Saccharomyces cerevisiae S288C: one gene and its partners. Changing the gene in region 1 together with any one later gene gives a genetic interaction. Each region holds a gene or a part of one and is shown on either strand. Other genes may lie near its edges.

What was found. Genes that interact genetically often act in the same process or in processes that back each other up.
Region 2: mutations in CHS3 (region 1) and FKS1 are lethal when combined (synthetic lethality), as found in Saccharomyces cerevisiae (7 studies listed by BioGRID, with this or other methods).
Region 3: mutations in CHS3 (region 1) and CLA4 together harm fitness more than expected from each alone (negative genetic interaction), as found in Saccharomyces cerevisiae (8 studies listed by BioGRID, with this or other methods).

What each region holds. Positions count from the first base shown.
Region 1 is NC_001134.8:283,056-290,606, reverse strand, and holds CHS3 (chitin synthase CHS3), read left to right. Parts: upstream 1-2,681; coding exon 2,682-6,179; downstream 6,180-7,551. Other genes in the region: putative thioredoxin peroxidase SCO2, read right to left, coding at 257-1,162; POA1 (ADP-ribose 1''-phosphate phosphatase), read right to left, coding at 6,336-6,869; FUR4 (uracil permease), read right to left, coding at 7,263-7,551. UniProt on the Saccharomyces cerevisiae protein: Polymerizes chitin, a structural polymer of the cell wall and septum, by transferring the sugar moiety of UDP-GlcNAc to the non-reducing end of the growing chitin polymer.
Region 2 is NC_001144.5:807,319-816,632, reverse strand, and holds FKS1 (1,3-beta-D-glucan synthase), read right to left. Parts: upstream 6,637-9,314; coding exon 1,006-6,636; downstream 1-1,005. Other genes in the region: GAS2 (1,3-beta-glucanosyltransferase), read right to left, coding at 1-539; YLR342W-A (uncharacterized protein), read right to left, coding at 650-823; SPO77 (Spo77p), read right to left, coding at 7,815-9,248. UniProt on the Saccharomyces cerevisiae protein: Alternate catalytic subunit of the 1,3-beta-glucan synthase (GS) complex. Synthesizes 1,3-beta-glucan, a major structural component of the yeast cell wall. Involved in cell wall synthesis, maintenance and remodeling.
Region 3 is NC_001146.8:65,986-72,579, forward strand, and holds CLA4 (serine/threonine protein kinase CLA4), read left to right. Parts: upstream 1-2,929; coding exon 2,930-5,458; downstream 5,459-6,594. Other genes in the region: TOS6 (Tos6p), read left to right, coding at 1-67; non-canonical poly(A) polymerase TRF5, read left to right, coding at 532-2,460; MON2 (Mon2p), read right to left, coding at 5,688-6,594. UniProt on the Saccharomyces cerevisiae protein: Involved in budding and cytokinesis.

The DNA.
Region 1 (7,551 bases):
TGATTTTCTTGAAAGAGAAACGAAAGGAAAAAAGCAATCTCGCGAGTGGATGGCATCGGATTTTATGTATGTGTGTATGTATGTTTATTATTCCCGCATGTTTACGCCCTTAAGCCCAATTAATAATTTGAACTGACAAGCATAATCATTTGACTTTCATTTTTTTTACTATTTTTTTCTATTTACAATGTAACTGTTAAATTGAACGACCCATAAGTTCGGTATCCTAGCTGTGTCTTTTTCTTTTTTTTTTTGCTCAATTGAAGATAAAAGAGTACCATTTTTTTGACCTACGCTCCCGTTCTTCCTTTGGCACATACGCCTGAATTTGTTCACGAATCTTTTCGAGACCAGATTGCTCATCGTAGTTTCTTCCCAACGCATCGATAAACTGTCCTTCAGGGTCGATCAAATAGAAAAATATCGAATGGTCCACTAAGTAATCCTGGTTGGGCTTGACATCACGTGGAGTTGAAAAATATACCTTGTATTTTTTGCATACGCTTTTCACTTGGTCGTACGTACCGGTTAAACCAATGATAGCTGGGTGAAAATCGCTTAAGTACTCTTTCAAGACATCCGGTGTATCTCTTGCAGGATCACATGAGATAAACAATGGCTGTATCTTTATATGGTCTTTATCATCTAATTCAGAAATCCAATACGTTAATCTGTCAAGCTCTTCTGGACAAATGTCGGGGCAATGACTGAATCCAAAGTATAAAATGGAAAACTTACCCTTCAAATTCTCCTCAGTGAAAGGCTTACCATTAAAATCTGTTAAATTGAAAGGACCGCCAAGTGCTACTGAACCGTAAGCTCTGTTAGCATCTGCTTCCTTTTCAGTTTCTAGCAAGCGTCTTTTTCTTGATAAATAGGCATACGTCCCACCACTTAGCAACAATAGAGCAATGGTGGCCTTCCATCTGGAAAATTGAAAAAACCTGGTTCTAATAGGCTCTGGTTCATTGATTTCATCACCTAGTTGTAGCCTATCTAGTGGTTGTCTTGCACTTGGGCTTTCCTTGTTATCACTCCTCAAACAACATCCCGTTGAAAACCCTCTTCGATATGCGCCTCCATTATAAAAGAGTCCTTTTATTGAGACGTTCGCTTGTCTGAATAGGGAACGACAAGCATATTTTCTTGAACTATTCAACATTTTACTCTCGCTTCCCAAATTCCCCTTTCTATGGTGATATTATAAAAGATCCTGTAAGCTGCTGTTTTACGAAGGTATTGTAGACGATCCGTAGCCCTCTTTAGCAATTGTTTGACTACTATCGATGGGACTTCTCGAAATTCATACTTTGTTAGGTTTTCTTTTTTATCCCTAAAAAGAGCGAAAGGATCAAGCAGAAAATTAAAACAATAGGCTACATCATCGAAGTTTCAAAGACCGGCATATCCGTCCATTTTTGAAAACACCCCACCCAAAATTGTAACTATCGACAGATTCTATGATAGCTACCCCGGGATGAAGGGCAGTCTTCTATAACTTGGGGCGGCAAGCAAACCAACCGTCATAGTTAATAAACCACACGTTGGTTATTTAGATTTCTCGTCCTGCTTTTCTGTCGCCAATAGGGCAACCTTAGAAAAGGTTTGAGGATAGTGACTACATGCAATCAAGGTAAAAGCGTTATCGAATAAGTAACAAGCATTCCGTGCTAAATTGACGAGAATTGGCAAGATGCGTCAGCACTATTTGGAGCAAACACACCAACTGGATGTCTTAAAAGTCAATTCAACGACCAATTTATGTAACCAGCGTGACTAGGGCAACGAATTTACGTCTTTTTTCTAAACTGCATATGCTATGAAATTAAAGATATACTGCCTCTATAAAAACATTTATATTTTCCCTCCTTTGCAATGGAAATGAAAACGGCGGTAAAAAAATTCGTGAGAATAAAGAGACGAGTACAAAAGTTCAATTAAAAACGCCAGGAACTGTTCTTTATCTTATTCTCTCCGTACGCTGTGTCACAAAGCTCTTGTATTGTGTCTCGCTTTCTTTTTCCAGATCTATGAAACCAGAATCACACCGCAGCAGCGACGGCTGTACCGTATTTAAGAGAATCCGCATGGGAAAAGATTACAAATTACCCTAGACAAATTTATAGAAGCGGTGCTTGTGAGATTTACTCACATTCTAGGATTCGAGAACTAAGCATTGTAGTTCTTATTTACATCCTTGAACAAATACCTGCCTATCTCCGCACGTACTACGTAGCCACAAATGTATATATAATCGTGCGTTGTATTTGCGCCCTCACCCACATATTTGACATGTGCATGAGACTGGATATTTCTTGAAGCATATTCAATAGCGTCGATGGACAGTTAGCCCGCAGTTGTATTGCATTCAGCACCTGCATAGGTGACCCTCTTTGGCTGCCTATTTGGATAAAACGCGTTATTGGCGCTGGCGCAGACCTCGAAAAAAAAAATCAAAAATGAAAATAAGAGCATAAAAATAGAAATCAAAAATATTCTTTCCTGTGTTTCAGATTTACATTCAGTACCAACATTTCGACTTGTAGTAAATCCTGCTAGAAGAATCACATTGGTAGACGGTTATAAACGTTTACCGATTTGCAAAGTTCTCGAGTATTTTTGGTGTAGGTCCCATTTTCTTCAAAGGTCCTGTTTAGACTATCCGCAGGAAAGAAATTAGAATGACCGGCTTGAATGGAGATGATCCTGATGACTACTATCTGAACCTTAATCAAGATGAAGAGTCTCTACTTAGGTCAAGACACAGTGTCGGCTCAGGAGCACCTCATAGACAAGGCTCTTTAGTGCGGCCCGAAAGAAGCCGACTGAACAATCCTGATAATCCACATTTTTATTATGCGCAGAAAACGCAGGAGCAGATGAATCACCTGGATGTTTTACCATCAAGTACCGGTGTAAACCCAAATGCAACTCGTCGGAGTGGCTCCCTGCGCTCCAAAGGCTCAGTGAGAAGCAAATTTAGTGGCCGCGAAACGGATAGCTATCTTTTACAAGATATGAATACTACTGACAAGAAGGCTTCCGTTAAAATAAGTGATGAAGGTGTTGCGGAAGACGAATTTGATAAAGATGGTGATGTGGACAATTTCGAAGAAAGCTCCACGCAGCCCATAAATAAGTCTATCAAACCATTAAGAAAGGAAACGAATGATACATTGTCATTTTGGCAGATGTACTGTTATTTCATTACGTTTTGGGCACCTGCTCCAATTCTTGCTTTCTGCGGGATGCCAAAGAAGGAAAGACAAATGGCGTGGAGAGAAAAGGTTGCTTTAATTTCTGTCATCTTGTACATTGGTGCGATTGTGGCTTTCCTGACTTTTGGTTTCACTAAAACCGTTTGTAGTAGTTCGAAACTACGTTTGAAAAACAACGAAGTATCAACAGAATTTGTCGTAATTAACGGTAAGGCTTATGAATTGGATACTTCCTCGCGTTCCGGTATACAAGACGTTGAAGTAGATTCAGACACCCTTTATGGGCCCTGGTCAGATGCTGGTAAAGATGCTTCGTTCTTGTTTCAAAATGTGAATGGTAACTGTCATAACCTTATAACTCCAAAGAGTAATTCTTCCATTCCCCATGACGATGATAATAATTTAGCATGGTATTTTCCTTGTAAGTTAAAGAATCAAGATGGCTCTTCGAAGCCAAACTTCACAGTTGAAAATTACGCAGGATGGAACTGTCATACGTCTAAAGAAGATAGGGACGCATTTTACGGTTTAAAGTCGAAAGCTGATGTTTACTTCACTTGGGATGGTATAAAGAACTCTTCTAGAAACTTGATTGTTTATAATGGCGACGTTTTGGATTTAGATCTTCTTGATTGGTTGGAAAAGGATGACGTTGACTATCCCGTTGTATTCGATGACTTGAAGACTTCAAATTTACAAGGTTATGATCTTTCGTTGGTTTTGTCAAATGGGCATGAAAGAAAAATTGCGAGATGTTTGAGCGAAATTATTAAAGTTGGTGAAGTAGACTCCAAAACCGTCGGTTGTATTGCCTCTGATGTCGTTTTGTATGTTTCTCTGGTATTTATTCTTTCAGTGGTGATAATTAAATTCATAATTGCCTGCTACTTCCGTTGGACTGTAGCTAGGAAACAAGGTGCATATATCGTGGACAATAAAACAATGGATAAACACACAAACGATATCGAGGATTGGTCTAATAATATTCAAACAAAAGCTCCTCTAAAGGAAGTAGATCCTCATTTGAGGCCAAAGAAATACTCAAAAAAGTCGTTGGGACACAAGCGTGCTTCAACCTTTGACTTGCTGAAAAAACACAGCTCCAAAATGTTTCAATTTAACGAATCTGTGATAGATCTAGACACCTCCATGAGCAGTTCACTACAATCTTCTGGTTCATACAGAGGAATGACAACAATGACCACTCAAAATGCTTGGAAACTCTCGAATGAAAACAAAGCTGTACATTCCCGTAATCCATCTACTTTGTTGCCTACATCCTCGATGTTTTGGAATAAAGCGACTTCCTCTCCTGTACCAGGATCATCGCTGATTCAGAGTCTTGATTCGACGATTATACATCCCGATATCGTTCAACAACCACCACTGGATTTTATGCCATACGGGTTCCCATTGATTCATACTATCTGTTTTGTTACTTGTTATTCTGAGGATGAAGAGGGTTTAAGAACCACTTTAGACTCTCTTTCTACCACAGATTATCCAAATTCCCATAAACTACTGATGGTTGTTTGTGATGGTTTAATTAAGGGCTCGGGCAACGATAAGACTACTCCAGAGATAGCGTTAGGAATGATGGACGACTTTGTCACCCCACCTGATGAAGTTAAACCTTACTCCTATGTGGCAGTGGCATCAGGCTCTAAAAGACACAATATGGCCAAGATATATGCGGGTTTTTACAAATATGACGATTCTACAATTCCACCAGAAAATCAACAACGTGTCCCAATCATTACAATTGTGAAGTGCGGTACTCCTGCAGAGCAGGGGGCCGCCAAACCCGGTAACAGAGGTAAGCGTGATTCTCAAATTATTCTGATGTCCTTTTTAGAAAAAATAACATTTGATGAAAGAATGACTCAATTGGAATTTCAGCTTTTAAAAAATATTTGGCAGATTACGGGGCTAATGGCAGACTTCTACGAAACGGTACTTATGGTTGATGCTGATACTAAAGTCTTTCCCGATGCTTTAACTCATATGGTCGCTGAAATGGTTAAAGATCCTTTGATTATGGGTCTTTGTGGTGAGACCAAGATCGCTAATAAGGCACAATCTTGGGTAACTGCAATTCAAGTGTTTGAGTACTATATTTCGCATCATCAGGCTAAAGCTTTTGAATCTGTCTTCGGTTCGGTAACTTGTTTGCCGGGATGTTTCTCAATGTATCGTATAAAATCTCCTAAAGGTTCAGATGGTTATTGGGTACCTGTATTGGCAAATCCAGATATTGTTGAAAGATATTCGGATAATGTTACAAACACTTTGCATAAGAAGAACTTATTATTACTTGGTGAAGATAGATTTTTATCTTCATTAATGTTAAAGACTTTCCCTAAGAGAAAGCAAGTATTTGTTCCAAAAGCTGCTTGTAAAACTATTGCCCCTGATAAATTCAAAGTCTTACTTTCCCAGCGTCGAAGATGGATTAATTCTACGGTACATAACCTTTTTGAATTAGTTCTAATCAGAGACTTATGTGGCACTTTCTGTTTTTCCATGCAATTTGTGATTGGTATTGAATTGATTGGTACTATGGTACTGCCGTTAGCCATTTGCTTTACTATTTATGTCATTATTTTTGCCATTGTATCAAAACCTACACCCGTAATCACTTTAGTTTTACTGGCAATTATTCTTGGTCTGCCCGGCTTAATTGTTGTTATAACTGCTACGAGATGGTCGTACCTATGGTGGATGTGCGTATATATTTGTGCTTTGCCTATTTGGAATTTCGTACTACCTTCATATGCGTACTGGAAATTTGATGACTTCTCATGGGGTGATACGAGAACTATTGCGGGAGGTAATAAAAAGGCACAAGACGAGAATGAAGGTGAATTTGATCACTCAAAGATTAAAATGAGGACATGGAGGGAATTTGAAAGGGAAGATATTCTCAATCGGAAGGAGGAAAGTGACTCCTTCGTTGCATAGACAGTATGAAAATATTTTTACTGTGATACTTACAAGTTGATATATGGTTGTGTGTAACTTATTTATTTGAGAGGTATTTTAACACACCTTAGAACTAAAACTTAATAAATAAATATTTCTCTATCTTTAAAGGCACATATTACGTGGCTAAGGCAATTACAGCTGATATACTGTAAAACTCATGTCGCCACTAAATTCTTCTAACACGCGTTCTGTCTCTTTCCAAGGGACTCCGAATATGCCACTATTTATCTGTGGCATTTCCAATTTATATTCCCCTATTGGGTATTTGATGTGGCCGTTTAAATAGTCACCGATTGAATCTTCACTTGTTCGAGTTTTGTCTTTTGCTTCTCTAAAGGTCTTCAATTTATCTAAAGCAAGTTTTGTATAATTCAAAATACTTTGCTTTTCTCCATGACTTGAACCTCCAAATGATGATGTAAACAAGCAACAAATCAGCAGATCTGAGTTTTCGTAACTGGGAAGTAATATGCATTTGCCTAGTAAATTAGAACCATACTTTTCGCATACTTCAACGTAATCTTTCTCTGCTTTTGGGTAGCGCAAAGCAAGTTGATAAGCGATCCCACCACCCCACGAGCCATTGCAGTTGCAAGAATGGATGAGGATCCTAGCATATGACTTTGGTTTTAAGATGTTACCTTTGACATAAGTGATGTTCGACATACCTGTAACTTGATGCTATATTTATCTTGGAGAAGATACTAATAAACTCAAACTTTTCGTGTAGAAATCTGGGCTTCAAGTTCGCATAGCATAACGAATCGTAAAGTTATGCATATGGCATAATACAACAATTATCCATTTTTTCTCGTGTGTAAAAAGAGAAAGGAGAGAGGAAAGAACGCTAAGCCATAAAGCAAACAAAAAATCGAATGAAAGTGAGTGAATATATTAAAACCAGTGAAATTAATGCTCATTGAAGGCCAAATGCACAAAGTAAATGCTAAAGAGAACGTAAATAGAAGTAAGTAGTATAGATAAGGATTAATATCATTACACATGAAAATTTGAAAAATATTTCAGATTAATGCAGAAAGTGATGTAGATATGGAGAGCTTAAATGAAAGTCTTTTCGTGTTCGTGTTCGTAGACACTAATATTGTCATCTACCAGGTCATCCCTCTCAATTGTGTCTTTCCACTCTTCTTCAAAATCATCGACATTGGCCCATCTTTGGAACCAGCCCTTGTCCTTTATAATGTTGTTAACAGGGCACCCAGGTACAGGGAAGAAGTAACACAGAGCAGTATAAGAAGAAAAACTCAAGCCATATCCTACCCAGTAACTTAGGTAATATAGTTTCATAGCTCCATCAGAAACCTTTATAGCGGGAGCGCCCACCTCC
Region 2 (9,314 bases), on another chromosome or scaffold:
TCATTTGTCACTTCATTCCCTGCAAAATACCCCAACAAATTTGGAAAGGATGACATTGCATCAATTACAGATTTGTACCTTTCAAAAATATGTACATCCCAAGATGGATTTTCTCTATTTATTGAAATATCAGGCTCTGAAAGATCTAATAGGACGTACATTCCTTCGGCAGATAGAGCTTCCATACATATATCATGTGATTTTGTCGGATCTATTGCATAAACACGCAGTGTGTTCACTCCTAGCATTTTCAAAAATGGAATATCTCTTAAGCATATTTTTGGGTCCGCTAAGGCATCAATATAACTTGTCTCAAAAGCCCCATTTGCATTGCTAAGCTCCTCTTCACTTCTCTGCAATTGGTAAGCAATGCCCTTGATGAAGAACTGTTCCCCACTCTCAGAGTCAAAGAATTTGTTTCCTACAATTTTAATAGCAGGGGTTTTTTCAAAGCTGACACCTGAAGAGCCATGAGACAATTGCAAACAAAGAAAAATAGCCACAATAATGGCTGCGTAAAAATTTTGTTTCTTGTTCATACTTAACTGAAAAGTTTCAAGTACCTCGAGTTAACGAATAGTAACGGATGTAGGTTGTTGAATGTTGTCTTTGTCTGACAATCTTCTCGTTGGGGCTCGCAACTATCTAGCTAAATTAATTCATTTACAATCAGAGTGACACAAATTTTTTCAGAATTACTGACACCGAAAGCTGCTCCGTTTTTTATAAATAGAGGCCGATACTGGTGAAAAAAACTAGACAAAAGACTGTTTATAATCACATAACTGTACAAAAAAACCCTTATTGGCATAAACACATTCATATACCTATAATATAAAACTAAATTAAAAAGACGCTTCCAAAAATAAGTAAAAAAGCATCAACATTAAAACAATCTAAACCAAAAACATCGAACGGTATTTGCAACATCTTGAGAGTTTCTGGTCTACTTGCTTTTGGATAGAATATCAGTAAAATCAAGCGTTCAAGCAAGTATTGATTGTATTATTTTATAGTTGACCAGGTCTTTAATGATGGCGTATGAGTATAGTAGTGACTTTGATAAGTTGACATTTGGGAACCAGTGTCATTATTGGTTGTATTTATTGGTTGGAATAGATTGTGAACAACGCCATCCAATGAATCTCCAATGTGTTTGTGGATCTTAGCAGAGGCTACAGCAGGACCAATAATGCATCCTGCAAAAATAGCCAATACTAAAAAGTACAAAGAGCAGTACTTCTTGACCATACGCTTACGCAAACGAGTTTGCTTCAGAGAGTAAATTGGGGGACGAATTTGACGAGAGGGCTTTAGCCAGAATAGCATAATCGAGTGGAATTTATCTATTTTTGGGATTATAATGAGTGGCAGTTGACAGATTAAAATCACATGACCTAGAACAAAATCAGCTGCAAATTCTGAAAGCTCAATTACCTTGGCGGTTAATTCTCTACTTGGCTGGGTCCAAGCCATGTAACCCATACCTTTACCATACCACTTACCAGTCCAGAAGGCTGTATTGGCATGATCGTTTTTAAATTCACGAGTCAACATTAACGCTGTCATGCAATGAAAAATGAGTCTTTGACATTGGATACAAGTAACGACTCCGATTAACATTCTAACAAAGTTGAAGCTCTCCAAAACCCACATGACAATGAAAAAGGCAATGTGGACAATAACAGCAACACCGTGGGCAATTCCAGCCATTACAGAACCTGTCTTCTTACAACACATACCAAATAAGGGACCAGAGCAGCATGACATACCCATACAGAAGAATAGAACACCGAGGTTAACGGCGATTGGCGCCAAGGTACAAATGATGATACGTAAAACAGAATTCACCCTATCATCATCAGTAGTCTTGACACCGGTTTGAGCATTAATAAACGTGAAGGCAATAAAACAACCAGCTGCATAAATTGCACAGGGTATGATTTCAGCCATGATCAAATTGGTTCTATGAGCCCTGCTTGCGTCACCAGCAGCTTTCTCAGATTCATCGCCAACCAGTTTACGTTTAAACCCAGTAATACGTGCCCTAGACATCCTCACGTAACCAATCCACGAGTTTCTATGATATTGATTATTACCTCTTGATAACCATCTGATATAATCCCTGTAATCCAAAAAGAAATCTTCCCAAGCAAACTGATGTGGATTGAAAACGAAAGGCGCAAAAATTAATGAAGATAGAGAGGCCCAAAACCACAGTAGTGGAGCTTGCCAATGTGCGACAGTACCGAACAGCAACATTAACATTGATCTTGCACCCATGTAGATAGCAGATCCTGCAAATCTTGAATACAAAATTGAAAATGGTATACGAGAAGTTGCAAAACCACGACCGGTGGATATATAACGAGCACCACCAATTGCTAAATCACTTAATAACGCAGAAGAGTAGATTTGGCCCGCAAACACTTCGAACATAGGGGATAATGATAATAGGTGGCAGAAAAATCTTTGGGTGGCTTTCCATAGACCACGTTCAATTAGTTCTTGAACAACAATAGGAACGAAGGCAATCCAGAAAACAATGAAAATAGACAATGTATAACGTCTCACCCAATCAACCGCAGGTTGGAAGTTGTAACACCCAATTGGAACCAAAACATCTGTTTTTGGTTTGTTCCTATCGTAAATACACATAATAGATTCATGGGCCAAGGAAGATAAATTCACCAAAGTCAACATAAACATTTGCAAAGATAATTGAATGAACAAGTTGTTCAAATGGAAACCAGGATGGGCATAATAGAATGTTAGGAAACGGTCCACTGGTAATTGGGTACCCAGATAATAATATTCACGAGATAACATTTGTTCACCCATACCAGCACCAATCTTAGTAGTGAAATTTAGAATTGTACCGAAACCCAAATCTCTACCTTTACCACATTGATAATACTCACAATGCTTGATACGACCACCACGAAGCATAGCATTCATACCAGCATAAATATCTTCGTTTAAATGCAAACCCTTTTGTGCTTTGGAAACACCACCTCTAGTGGTCATAAACGTAGCATTAATGAAATCCGGATGACCATAATGCAATTTACCACCAATTTGAGATAAAGTACGCGCAAATAATGTACCAAAAGTTTGTTCTTTACCAGCGGCCACATCACCCAGCACACCAGAGTTTTCAGAGAAAATGTATTCTCTGGCACCAACAATAGCAACAGGATGATTAGTTGTTTGCTCCTCATACCTTAAACCGGGAGCATATGGATTAACTTGTTCAACGTTCAATTCCTCAAATTCAGCCAATACAGATCTAATCTTCAGACATTCTTCCAAGTAGTTATCTTGGTTGGCATCAATTAATTGAATGTATTCACCTCTGTAAAAAATCAAAGCATGGTTTTGGTTATCAGATTTACCGTCACCAAGAATTGGGTTACCAGATAATTGAACTCTAAACTTGGGACGTCTACGACCATTATCTAGAATTTCACAATGTCCATCAATCAAAGCGGAATAGATTCTTGGCTCCTCACCTTCAGTCAAAGGTGGCTCTTCATCCAAGTAGGCAATTTGTAAGTCTGGGTAAGCTCTCAACAAAAACTCAGCATTTTCCAGTTCATGTGGTTTGAATTTAGCCAATCTCTGCATAGAGACCAAAAATTTAAACTTTCTTCTTGCCATCTTTTCTAGCTCTCTTTCTAAGCCTTCAGCATTACCACCAAACATTTGAACAATTTCAGGATTTTCCACACGATACAGTAATTTGATAGCTCTTGAATAATTCATGAACCCTGAAATGGTACGATATAGAGTCTGCGACCTCAAAGAAGCCCAAATTCTCGTACGAAGTGTATATTCTGGAGCAGCAGATTTAAAACCAATACAATAAAATGGCAAATCATCGATTTGAGATTTCAAAGCATCTTCCTTTTCAGCTTCATTTTCATTTCCTTCATAGGCAGCGGTTTCTTCAGCCAAAATCTTAGTATCCTTAACAAAACATTCCCATTCAACGGGATGTAATTGTTTTAGATATTCTAAAAGAGTAACTCTAGAAAATTGGTCATCTTCACGAATAATTTCTCTTAATGACAGCAGAATTCTTTCCGCGTAGTGAGGAGTCAATACTGTGAACGTTGGCATGTTATCAACTGGAAGTGGTTCGGGAATTGGAGTAGACAAAGATTGAGCAAAGAAAGAAATACGACGCTCAGCCTCTGAATCCCTAGGGAAAAATTCAGTCTCAAAATTATTGTCATCTTGAGAAACAAAGAAGGTAGGAGCTCTCAAAGTTCTTTTACCTTCGATTTCAGATGGAACTTGATGATATAGTAATTTTTGTACATGGTCGATGGCTAAGAGATGTTCTCTGTACATTGAAATAATGATGGCATTCCATACTTGAGAAATCAAAACCTTTGGTTTGTATTTAATTTCCATATCAGTAGTAGCCAAAATCTTGGAGTATATTCTTTTTGGCAATCTTGTGAAGATATTTCTCCATGGTGTTAAGATAGAAATACCTAAATAGAAAGATTTCCCAACAGAGAAAATGGTATTCACAATAATGTACCATAAGTAGGTATCCAAGAAGAAAAGAATGAAGTCGGTAGCGATAACCAAACCTAAGACAATCTTGGGTTGCACTTTACAAAGTACCGCACCCCACCAGTATTCACCTGTACACCTCATTGCAGTGGTGGACAAAATTCTAATTGGATCTCTCAAAGATAAAACTAAAAAGTAGTACGATTCTGAATATTTGGCAGCAAAAACAGTAACCCAAACTAAATAGGACATCCATCTATCTAACCCATGTAGAGGGGCAAATGCAGCAGTGAATGTTTGAGATGCAACATAACGCCTTGTAGATTTTTTCATATATGACGTAAACAACCCCCCCAATGGCATAATGGAGAAGAATATGATGGTAGCAACCGCAACAAAGAACATAACAGCAGCAACAACGTGTGCAGCAGTGGAGTAGACTGTATCTTTGTCGTAAGCAAAAACAAAAATAATAGGACCCAAATTAATACCAAAGATGATGCATAAAAACCAGAATCTACGAGATAGATGTTGAGCACCAGCCCATTTTCTTGGAACGAATGACCATTCACACAAAGTAGCGACAATTTGAATCAAACTTGCGACAGTACCACCTAATGCGCAAGATGCCCACTTGTAAGCAGCCAAAGGTTGGTTGTCGACCAATTGTTGATAGTTATGAGTGTAAAATGTTGGTGAATTATATGCAAAGTACATCCAAAAAATGGAGATATGCATAACCCAAATACGGTTGAAGTTGGTGACCAAATGTAACCAAGTACGGGTCTCTTTATATGTTTTGAAGAATACATCATCCCAGACGACATCGCCTAATCTTAAATAACGTTCTTCCAATGGGAGTTCTATCAATTTTGTTCCATCTTCAAGAACAATCTTTGCAATACCTTCTGGATACCAGAACAATTGGTTTAAATCATCATAACCGACAATTTTGTTATGATCTCTTTCACGCTTGACAAAACGACCATCAACAATTTCATAAACTTGATTTCTGATGAAATGATAAATTGGCGTAATGACTCTATTCAAGAAATCACCTTCTGGCATAGGTTCTTGGCGTTGTTGGCAAAGAGGGGAATCCAAGTAGTCAAGAGCACACTTGTAGATAAAACATAAACATTCAGCAGTGAATCTGACTTGATTAGCTTCACCCCAACATAACAGATATAAGGCGATATGACGAACTCTTTCCAGGGGAGACAACTGGTTCATCTTGGCCTTCCATCTAAAATCAGCAGCCTCTAGGGAGTTGTCGCCTTCAATTTTGTTTAAAGTTTCTTCAGTGTCTTCGGGATTGGCCTCTTCCATTGCTTTCTTGTTTTTCTTCTTAGCTTTTCTTGCCTTCCTTGAGAGTTTTCCAAGACTCATATTTCTAAAACCAATTTCATCATCCATATCTAACTGAGCAGCAAAATACCATTTTTTATAGTTAGCAGTATCGCCACCAATGTAGTCGGCATGTAAAGATAGTAAAGCTTGATCAGGAGACATTCTCGAGGACCTAGAGTCCAAGAGAACCATAAAATGATCAAACATATTTCTCATGGAGTCTCTTTGGAACCCGAGTCTGTTGGTCAAATCAATAAAGATATCTTCGATTTGCTCGATCGAAACGGGAGATTGAGAGTCAGCAGTCCAAGCGGGATAAGGTTCATTTGGCAAAGCCATAGCGATAGCATTTGGGTCATAATTACCGTAAATTGGAGTCGAGGTACCCGACGAATTTGGTTCTCCATAACTCATTTGAGAAGCGGTATACTGACCACCATAGCTATCATATCCAGGTGTTCCAGGAGGGCCGTAACTGCTAAAATCCGAGAAGTTTTCACCGTCTTGAGCAGCCATATTTGGCGGTTGACCATAGTATTCACCGTTTGTGTAGTCTTGGTCGTAAGACTCGTTTGGTGGTTGTTGACCATACATATCAGCTTCAGTACCAGCAGCGACATTTGGATCGTAGTAACCATCAGCTTGTGAAGGATACAAAGGCTGGCCATATTGGTCATAGTCTTGTTCCTGACTTTGCCCGTTACCTGGTCCCTGGGTATAGTCCGTTTGGCCCTGATAAGGTTGTTGATCAGTGTTCATGGTCTGACCGTTGTATGAAAGACTTGATTTCAGCTACTTGCTTATTTTAATTTTTTTGAGCGAACGTAAGAGAGGTTAATGTCCTCTAACTATCAGTCCAATGACAGTATTTTCTCCTTCTCACAAACTACAATAAATATCTACCAATCTCTTTTCGAATAAGGACTAATGATATACGCTAGTTCCTGTTTGGTAAATGAAGGCTAGTGTTCGAGAATGGAGAACTTCGTAGTCGGTTAAAACAGCTGTAGTGTTCTGGCCTTCTTAGAAAGAATAAATAGTTCAGGAGTAAAATCAAAATATCTTTTAATATAAACTAAGACAAAGAAAGAAACAAGAATTTTGATCTGAAAAAATCGAAAAAAAGGAACGAATGGATCGATGAAAATTTTCGAGACTAGGTTATAATTATTTCTTTTTTTAGATTTGTGCGCGTAAAAAACGGAACCAGAAGAAGCCAAAAAAAAAAGAAATTCTTCCTGTGCTTCATCAAAACGCGAAAATTCGTCGCCCAGTAAGTGAGACTATTTCCTATAATAGAAATCCAAGTGGCAAAAGCGTTAGACGCAGTACAAGGACGCGTTAAGAAAAATTTCGAGAGAGTCGCCGATAGTAGGATTAGAGTTTCATAACGCGTTACACGGAAGGAGAGCAGTAAGGAGGGCCCGATACAGAAAAAAAAATGGCGCTTGTTACAGATTCTGATTGCCCGTACATGACATGGTCTTTCTTTTCTTTTTCGTTAATATTTCTGCTTTTTCATGTGTGTCGAAAATAGTTAGCTCGATAAGATACTGTGATAGGCAAAAAGAAAGTTTGTCCTTCCGCATCGGTGCTGTCCCTCCTTAGCTGAGGGTTCGGTGTACCTGTGCTTTTTCGGAACCAGTTCTTGGCCCGCTAAAAATCGCTACGTCCATCCCTTTGTCTTAGTCAAGCACGAAGGAATTCGAAGTTTATCGTAATTTTGCTTTGTTCTGGTCCCTTGGTTTTCTCTTTTTGCATAAATCTGGCAGTATCGTAAAATGTGATTTGCACAAACCAATGCACAGAGGAGAGTTGAAGTACAGATAGAATGCGTTTACGACATTACTTAGGCCTTTCCAGGGCGCGAAAAGACAAAATATGGATTGCCCTTGCTAATTGTGTAGATGTTTGCATGCCGCGGTTTTATCGCTGCGTCACATATGGGATTTTGATTGATTCAAAGCCTTGATATTATCAATAAATGGTTCAATCACATCCCATTTATTGAATTGGAGGCCTTCTTCGTCCTCTTCTGTACTTGAAGTGATTGATTCAGATTCTGCGTTTGAGGACTCTCTTTGTTGGCTTTGCTTCATATCTTGAACAGTTCCGTTGCACCAAGCGCTCAAGAGTTGTTGCCGTTTTCCTTCATTGTTCTTTAACCAGAGTTGAATAATTTCATCAATTCCCAAAAATAACTGCGGAATCTGGTGCTCAAAGACAATTTTTATGAGAATTTCAATAAATGACAAAAATACTTCATCGGAAAATTTTTCTAAAAAATTGACAGAATACATGAACTTAACGATCAAGATAAAGCATTTTTGAATCTCTAAAACAATCGTTGAAAATACTCTACTGAAAAGAACGTAGTTGATAATAGTGTTTCTATTGTGGCATTGATCTTGTTCTTTTAGCTCGATTCCGAATTTGAAAGTTTCCAAAATAGAATTGGAAAAATGCTTCAAACGGCACATTATGTCCACTATATTTGTGGAGGGATACTGACCCTTTAGCTTGCAAATTATGTACTTGTCATTGTAGCATTTCAAATCTGCATCAAACATTTGTAATAAGTTTATGTTCTTTATCAACGTTTCGACCCAAATATCGTGCACAATGAACTCAATTGTGTTAATGAAAGTAGATTTTTCGAAAGCCTCATCAGAAGAGTCGGCCAAGAGTTCAATGTCTTCAAAAAAGTTTAATAACACCACGCAGTTCGGAAGTATTAGTTCTACCAAATTTTCTTCGGGATTATCTTTGCTTACTCGAAAGTCATAGAGCGTATTGAATAGTTTTTTGTTTATTTCATTTAGAGTCAACGAACATTTTTCAAGGGTGGCACCAGATAATAACTCAGCATAAGGGACATTATCGTCAAAACTAAATTCTATCACGTCTTCATCTGCAGTATTTAGCATAAAAGTTGCTGAGTTTGAACGAAGACTATCAATGTTTCCATTTTTTTTTGAAAATTTTGACTCCGCTATATGGTTACAGTCAATACTCTGGGTATATTTACCACTCGAAGCTGGGTCATTACTGTTGTTAATTTGGTAGTTTAAATTAGAAGAATTATCATCTTGAATTCTATCCCACTTTCCTTCTTTCTCATCGATCCTTATCGGAACTGCGTCAGTTCCAAACTGGCTTCTGATAGTTTCTGCATTACCGCGATGGAGCTGTTCGCTTTTATGGTGCCCTGAATTGTTTTTTGATGTGAATAAAGAATCATCTAATGGAAAAAAACCTATACTACTCTTTTTTTTTGAAGGTACATTATCTTTTACGGTATATTCGTATTCCAAAGGAAGAAAGAAGCTATTTTGTACGTTAAAATTTGAATTATCTCCCCTTCGAAACATATTCTACTTCTATTGATCTCTTAAGGAACATAGAAATACTGCAAGATAGGTTTTTTTTTTTATGGG
Region 3 (6,594 bases), on another chromosome or scaffold:
TGCCGTTAAAGGCTCCGTTGCGGGTATGGGTGCCATCATGGGTGCTGCTGCCTTTGCTTTGTTATAAGTTGCATGGACAACTTAAACTAGGAAGGATATTCCGCTTCATTTCATTAATTTCACATTTTTTTATCTACATGATATGTATTTTCCCTCAGTTACCAGATTCGCTAGCTTCGAAGCAAGGACTCCTTGGTCATACTTAATAAAGGAACGTCTGCTTCATTCTCCTAAAGTTCCTTTCGATAAGGACGCAGAAGGCACCTTACTAGACCATTGTATAAACTCATAACTACATACTAATTCAACGATATGTTACATTTATTTTCTTGTGGTTACCCCCCGCAAATTTCCAGGCATCTCATCTCATCGCAGTTAAAAAAAAAAAAGTTGTAAAAAGGTAATAAAGCGATACTTGATGAAAGCAAACATCTGTAATAACAGTTCACAAGGTTAAGCTGGTTCGTTTCACTAGCGTATCATTTTTTATTTTTCAAATAAACAAACGAGGGCGGAGTTTATTGGGTCGTCATGACAAGGCTCAAAGCAAAATATTCACCTACAAAAGGTAAAAGAAAAGAAGATAAACATACAAAACGTATGCGTAAATCATCCTTCACAAGAACGCAAAAAATGCTTGAAGTATTTAACGATAATCGCTCGCATTTTAACAAGTACGAGAGCCTCGCTATCGACGTTGAAGACGATGACACTTTCGGAAACCTAGTCTTAATGGAAAATGATAAAAGTGATGTCGACATACCTGTAATAGAAGAAGTCACATCAAGTGAAGATGAACAAAGGGCAGAATCTAGCAAAAGAAACAATTCTCTCGAAGATAATCAAGATTTTATTGCTTTTTCGGACAGCTCTGAAGATGAAACAGAACAAATAAAGGAAGATGATGATGAAAGAAGCAGTTTTCTGTTGACCGATGAACATGAAGTTTCTAAGCTTACTTCACAGCAATCTCTGAACACTGAAAGCGCTTGCAATGTGGAGTATCCTTGGATAAGAAATCATTGTCATTCGAAACAAAGGAGAATAGCAGATTGGCTAACTTCAGAAATCAAAGATTTCGTTCATTATATCTCTCCAAGCAAGAACGAAATCAAGTGCAGAAATAGAACGATCGATAAACTACGCCGGGCGGTCAAGGAACTGTGGTCGGATGCAGATTTGCATGTGTTTGGTTCTTTTGCCACCGATTTATATTTGCCGGGTTCTGACATTGACTGTGTCGTAAACAGCCGGAATCGCGATAAAGAGGACAGAAATTACATTTATGAATTGGCGAGACATTTGAAAAACAAAGGGCTAGCTATAAGAATGGAGGTTATTGTTAAAACGCGAGTGCCTATTATCAAATTCATAGAGCCCCAATCACAGTTACATATCGACGTTTCATTTGAAAGAACGAACGGGTTAGAGGCTGCAAAACTCATCAGGGAATGGCTAAGAGACTCTCCAGGGTTACGTGAACTGGTACTGATAATAAAACAATTTTTGCATTCAAGACGATTGAACAATGTGCACACAGGAGGATTGGGAGGTTTCACAGTAATCTGTTTGGTTTATTCTTTTTTAAATATGCATCCGCGAATAAAATCAAACGATATCGACGTTCTAGATAACCTGGGTGTTCTACTGATTGACTTCTTCGAACTTTACGGAAAAAATTTTGGTTATGATGACGTTGCTATAAGCATATCTGATGGTTACGCCTCTTATATTCCTAAATCGTGTTGGAGAACTTTGGAACCTTCAAGGAGTAAATTCTCGCTAGCTATTCAAGATCCTGGTGATCCTAACAATAATATAAGCAGAGGCTCCTTTAATATGAAGGATATAAAAAAGGCCTTTGCTGGTGCCTTCGAACTGTTGGTCAATAAATGCTGGGAATTGAATTCTGCTACATTCAAAGACCGCGTTGGAAAAAGTATACTCGGAAACGTGATCAAATACCGTGGGCAAAAGAGAGATTTCAACGACGAAAGAGATTTAGTGCAGAATAAAGCCATCATTGAAAACGAGCGCTACCACAAGAGGCGCACGAGGATAGTTCAAGAAGATTTATTTATAAACGACACCGAAGACTTGCCAGTAGAGGAGATCTACAAACTTGACGAACCTGCAAAGAAGAAACAGAAGGCAAAAAAGGATAAGAGAGAAGGGGAAATCAAAAAGAGTGCCATTCCATCTCCACCTCCGGATTTTGGAGTGAGCAGAAGCAAATTGAAACGCAAAGTGAAAAAAACTGATCAGGGCTCTCTCCTACACCAAAACAACCTCAGCATAGATGACTTGATGGGACTTTCTGAGAATGATCAAGAATCCGATCAAGATCAAAAAGGAAGAGATACCCCTTCGGGACAAGATGAGAAATCACCACTGGAAACTAAGACAGTAGATGCTCAAACGAGAAGGGACTACTGGCTCTCTAAAGGCCAGGCTCTTTAACACAATATAGACTCTTATAGACTATTTACTATTTATACAAGAATACCACATCGATGTCCAAGTGAAACAATAAGCTAATGATATCAAACGCGTGGGTATTTTCCCTTTCCGGAAATATAGAGCCACCAAAAAAGGATAGTTTCCCGATATGGAAATTTTCTCGAGCCGGTAAGATGACGAAATTTTTCATCTCTGGCATGATAGAAACATAGTATGGAACGTGCAGGAGAGTCTGATTCGAGACACATAATTTGAAAGAACCTTCTAGCCTGAGCCTTGTACATGTATTAGCGTTGCCAGTTATTTGCTTCTGCTGCTAATAAGATCAAAACCTTAAGTCCTTTATTTCGATCGAACGTACTGCGCTACTGAAAACCATTGCATCTTTTGCTATCATTCATTCCTGGTGGTTTCTTTGGTGTAATAAATCGAACAGTGAAACTGAAACATAAAAGAAATAGTGCAAAATATGTCTCTTTCAGCTGCAGCGAATAAGATATCTGACAACGATTTCCAAAATATCGGACCGGCACCTAGACCTCCCAGTTCAAATAGCCAGGGCCGTACTTGCTATAATCAAACGCAACCTATAACCAAACTTATGAGTCAACTGGATTTAACATCAGCGTCCCATTTAGGTACAAGTACCTCCAAAAAAAAAAGCGGGTGGGTGTCCTACAAAGATGACGGTATACTTTCATTTATATGGCAAAAGAGATACCTGATGCTACACGATTCGTATGTAGCCCTTTACAAGAACGATAAACAAAATGACGATGCGATCTTGAAGATACCACTAACTAGTATTATAAGTGTAAGCAGGACACAGTTGAAACAATATTGTTTTGAGTTGGTGCGCTGCAGTGACCGAAATTCTGTATCATCAGGATCCTCGTCCTCTTTGAATGTATCATCAGACAGTAACTCCAAAAAATCAATATACATTGCTACAAAGACAGAAAGCGATTTGCATAGTTGGTTAGACGCCATTTTTGCTAAATGTCCATTATTAAGTGGTGTATCTTCTCCAACAAACTTCACACATAAAGTTCACGTTGGTTTTGATCCAGAAACAGGTAGTTTTGTTGGTATGCCCACCAACTGGGAAAAATTATTAAAGCACTCCAGAATTACAGGAGAAGATTGGAACAATAATTCTGCGGCTGTCATTCAAGTGTTGCAGTTTTATCAAGAGTATAATGGAGCCGGAAATCCCACAAATACTTTAGACAAGCCTCAAAGTGGTGAAACTTCCTCCTCTCAAAAATCGCTGCCAAACAGCTATAATGATAACAAACTCAGAAATAATTCAGTAAATTCAAAGTCATCTTCAGGCGTTTCTTCAAGTATGGTATCACAGAGGAAAACCTCACAACCACCAAATACCAAATCGCCTGTTTCTCTAGGAAGCGGCTCACTGCCACCAATAAATACAAAATTGCCCACTAGTCAGTCAAATATTCCAAGACACTTACAAAATGTTCCCAACCAACAATATCCTAAGATGAGAAACGGACACTCCCCAACCAATGGCCAATTTCCTAGGGGACCTATGCATCCAAACAATTCTCAACGATCTTTGCAGCAGCAGCAGCAGCAGCAGCAGCAACAAAAACAACAGCATCAACAATATCCATACCACCATCAAGGACCATCTCCATCTCCATCCCCATCTCCGTCTCCATTAAACCCTTATAGGCCACATCACAATATGATAAATCCTTATTCCAAACAACCTCAATCGCCATTAAGTTCACAGTCGACCCAAAACCAAGCAATTCCACGTTATGCACAAAACTCAAGTCCTACAGCCGCACACTTTCAACCTCAAAGAACAGCTCCAAAGCCACCAATATCAGCTCCAAGGGCGCCATACCCATCAAATCAAAATGCTACTAGTAACACACATGTACAGCCTGTTGCACCTAAGAATGACCAGTCAACCCCACAAACAATGAGGCAGGCCCCAAAGAGACCGGATGCAGATGTCGCACAACCGGGTGGTGTGGCCAAACCGAAGAAGCCAGCAAGGCCTACCATGTCAACTGCAGAAATAATGAGTAAGCTGAAGAAAGTCACCGTAAATGCGGATCCATCTCAATGCTTTAAAGTGATCGAGAAGGCCGGTCAAGGTGCAAGTGGGTCCGTCTACCTTGCAGAGAGGACGCATATTCCGACAGAAAGTAATATGATCGAACTCATAAACAATGATATTGATGAGCCGCACGTAGGAGATAAAGTTGCTATCAAGCAAATGGTCTTATCTAAACAACCTCGTAAAGAACTCATAGTGAATGAAATTTTGGTTATGAAGGATTCACGTCATAAAAATATCGTCAATTTTCTCGAGGCTTATTTGAGAACAGACGATGACCTATGGGTTGTGATGGAGTTTATGGAAGGAGGTTCACTAACAGACATTATCGAGAATAGTCCCACCAACGATAATTCACATTCACCACTAACAGAACCCCAAATTGCATATATCGTACGAGAAACTTGCCAAGGCTTGAAATTTCTACACGACAAGCATATCATTCATAGGGATATTAAATCAGATAATGTCTTGCTGGACACTAGAGCTAGGGTGAAAATTACCGATTTTGGGTTTTGCGCCAGATTAACTGATAAAAGAAGCAAAAGAGCCACTATGGTTGGGACACCTTACTGGATGGCACCTGAAGTTGTCAAACAACGTGAATACGATGAAAAGATTGACGTATGGTCTTTGGGTATCATGACCATTGAAATGCTGGAGGGTGAACCACCATATTTAAATGAAGATCCACTAAAGGCGTTGTACTTAATTGCAACTAATGGTACACCAAAGCTCAAGCATCCAGAAAGTTTGTCTTTAGAAATTAAACGCTTTCTAAGCGTTTGCCTTTGCGTAGATGTTAGATATAGGGCATCAACCGAAGAGCTTTTACACCACGGTTTTTTCAATATGGCATGTGATCCAAAGGATTTGACATCACTGTTGGAGTGGAAGGAATGAAGCACACAACTATTTCTATAAGCATATCATACATACTACAATCTTATGTATTTCTTTTCTTTTAGCTATGCATACCAATGGCATAATATATAAATACGTTCACCTTAAAAGTTTTTTTTTTAAAGTAAATAAAAAAAGACCTGCAACGATACAATAATCAATCCAATGTCGTTTAATATTACTATTTATCCTACGTGATTTTTAAAAATATTCGTCCATGCTTCAGCTTCTAGTCTAGTTTCGTAAATCCAAGTGATAATTCCAAAACTTTATCTTGGAGGCCATCCATTTTATGAGATACTGGGATGGTTCTTAAAATCAACGGACTTAATGTTTGTAGGTTTTCAACTCCAATTTGTTTGTTGCCAAGGGTCGAATTTTGATCTAGAACACCTCTTAAAATCACGCATAGCCCATTTAATAGAGTAGCTAGTTCTGTTTTACGCAATTTTGGTATTGGTGCTCGCCCAATCAAGTATTCATCTGAGATATATCTTCTAAGAGCAAGGGCAATTCTTGCAGAAAGATAAGGAGCAGTTAACTTTCTTAATTTCTCGTTTGTGTTCAACATAAAATTAACCAAATCTTGCAAGCACTCTAAAGAGCACTTATATTTTGTCTGAAAGCGAGGATTTGTGGTGGATCCAAATATACATGAAAAATCGAACGAAGATAGTTTTTGAGACAATTCAGAAAACGTACCACAGTCTTGCATCAAAGCATTTTCTAATTCATCGAATTCATATAAAAATGAACAATCCCAGACGGCATAAATGAAAGTGTCTAATTGCCTTTCATTGAAGAGATCAATGATTCTGTTTTCCAGCAATATCTCCCTATATTTGGAATACTCATTCAAATCGTCTATCTCGGTTAAATTATCGAGCTCTGGGTTGATTCTTTGTAATGTGACAACAATAACATTTATAAATAAATCACAAAAGTTATCCTTTAATGGATTTTCTGCATCTTCTTGGAGTGATTTGAAAATTTTGTTCGACAAATCACAGAAGCAATTGGAAGCAAGAACCCATATGGGGATTTCATCACTCTCTGACCCTGTAATAAGCGATTTTCGCTTGATGATTTCAGCCAAATTTTTCAATATTCTTAAAATATGCTTTGCTTTCAGTGTG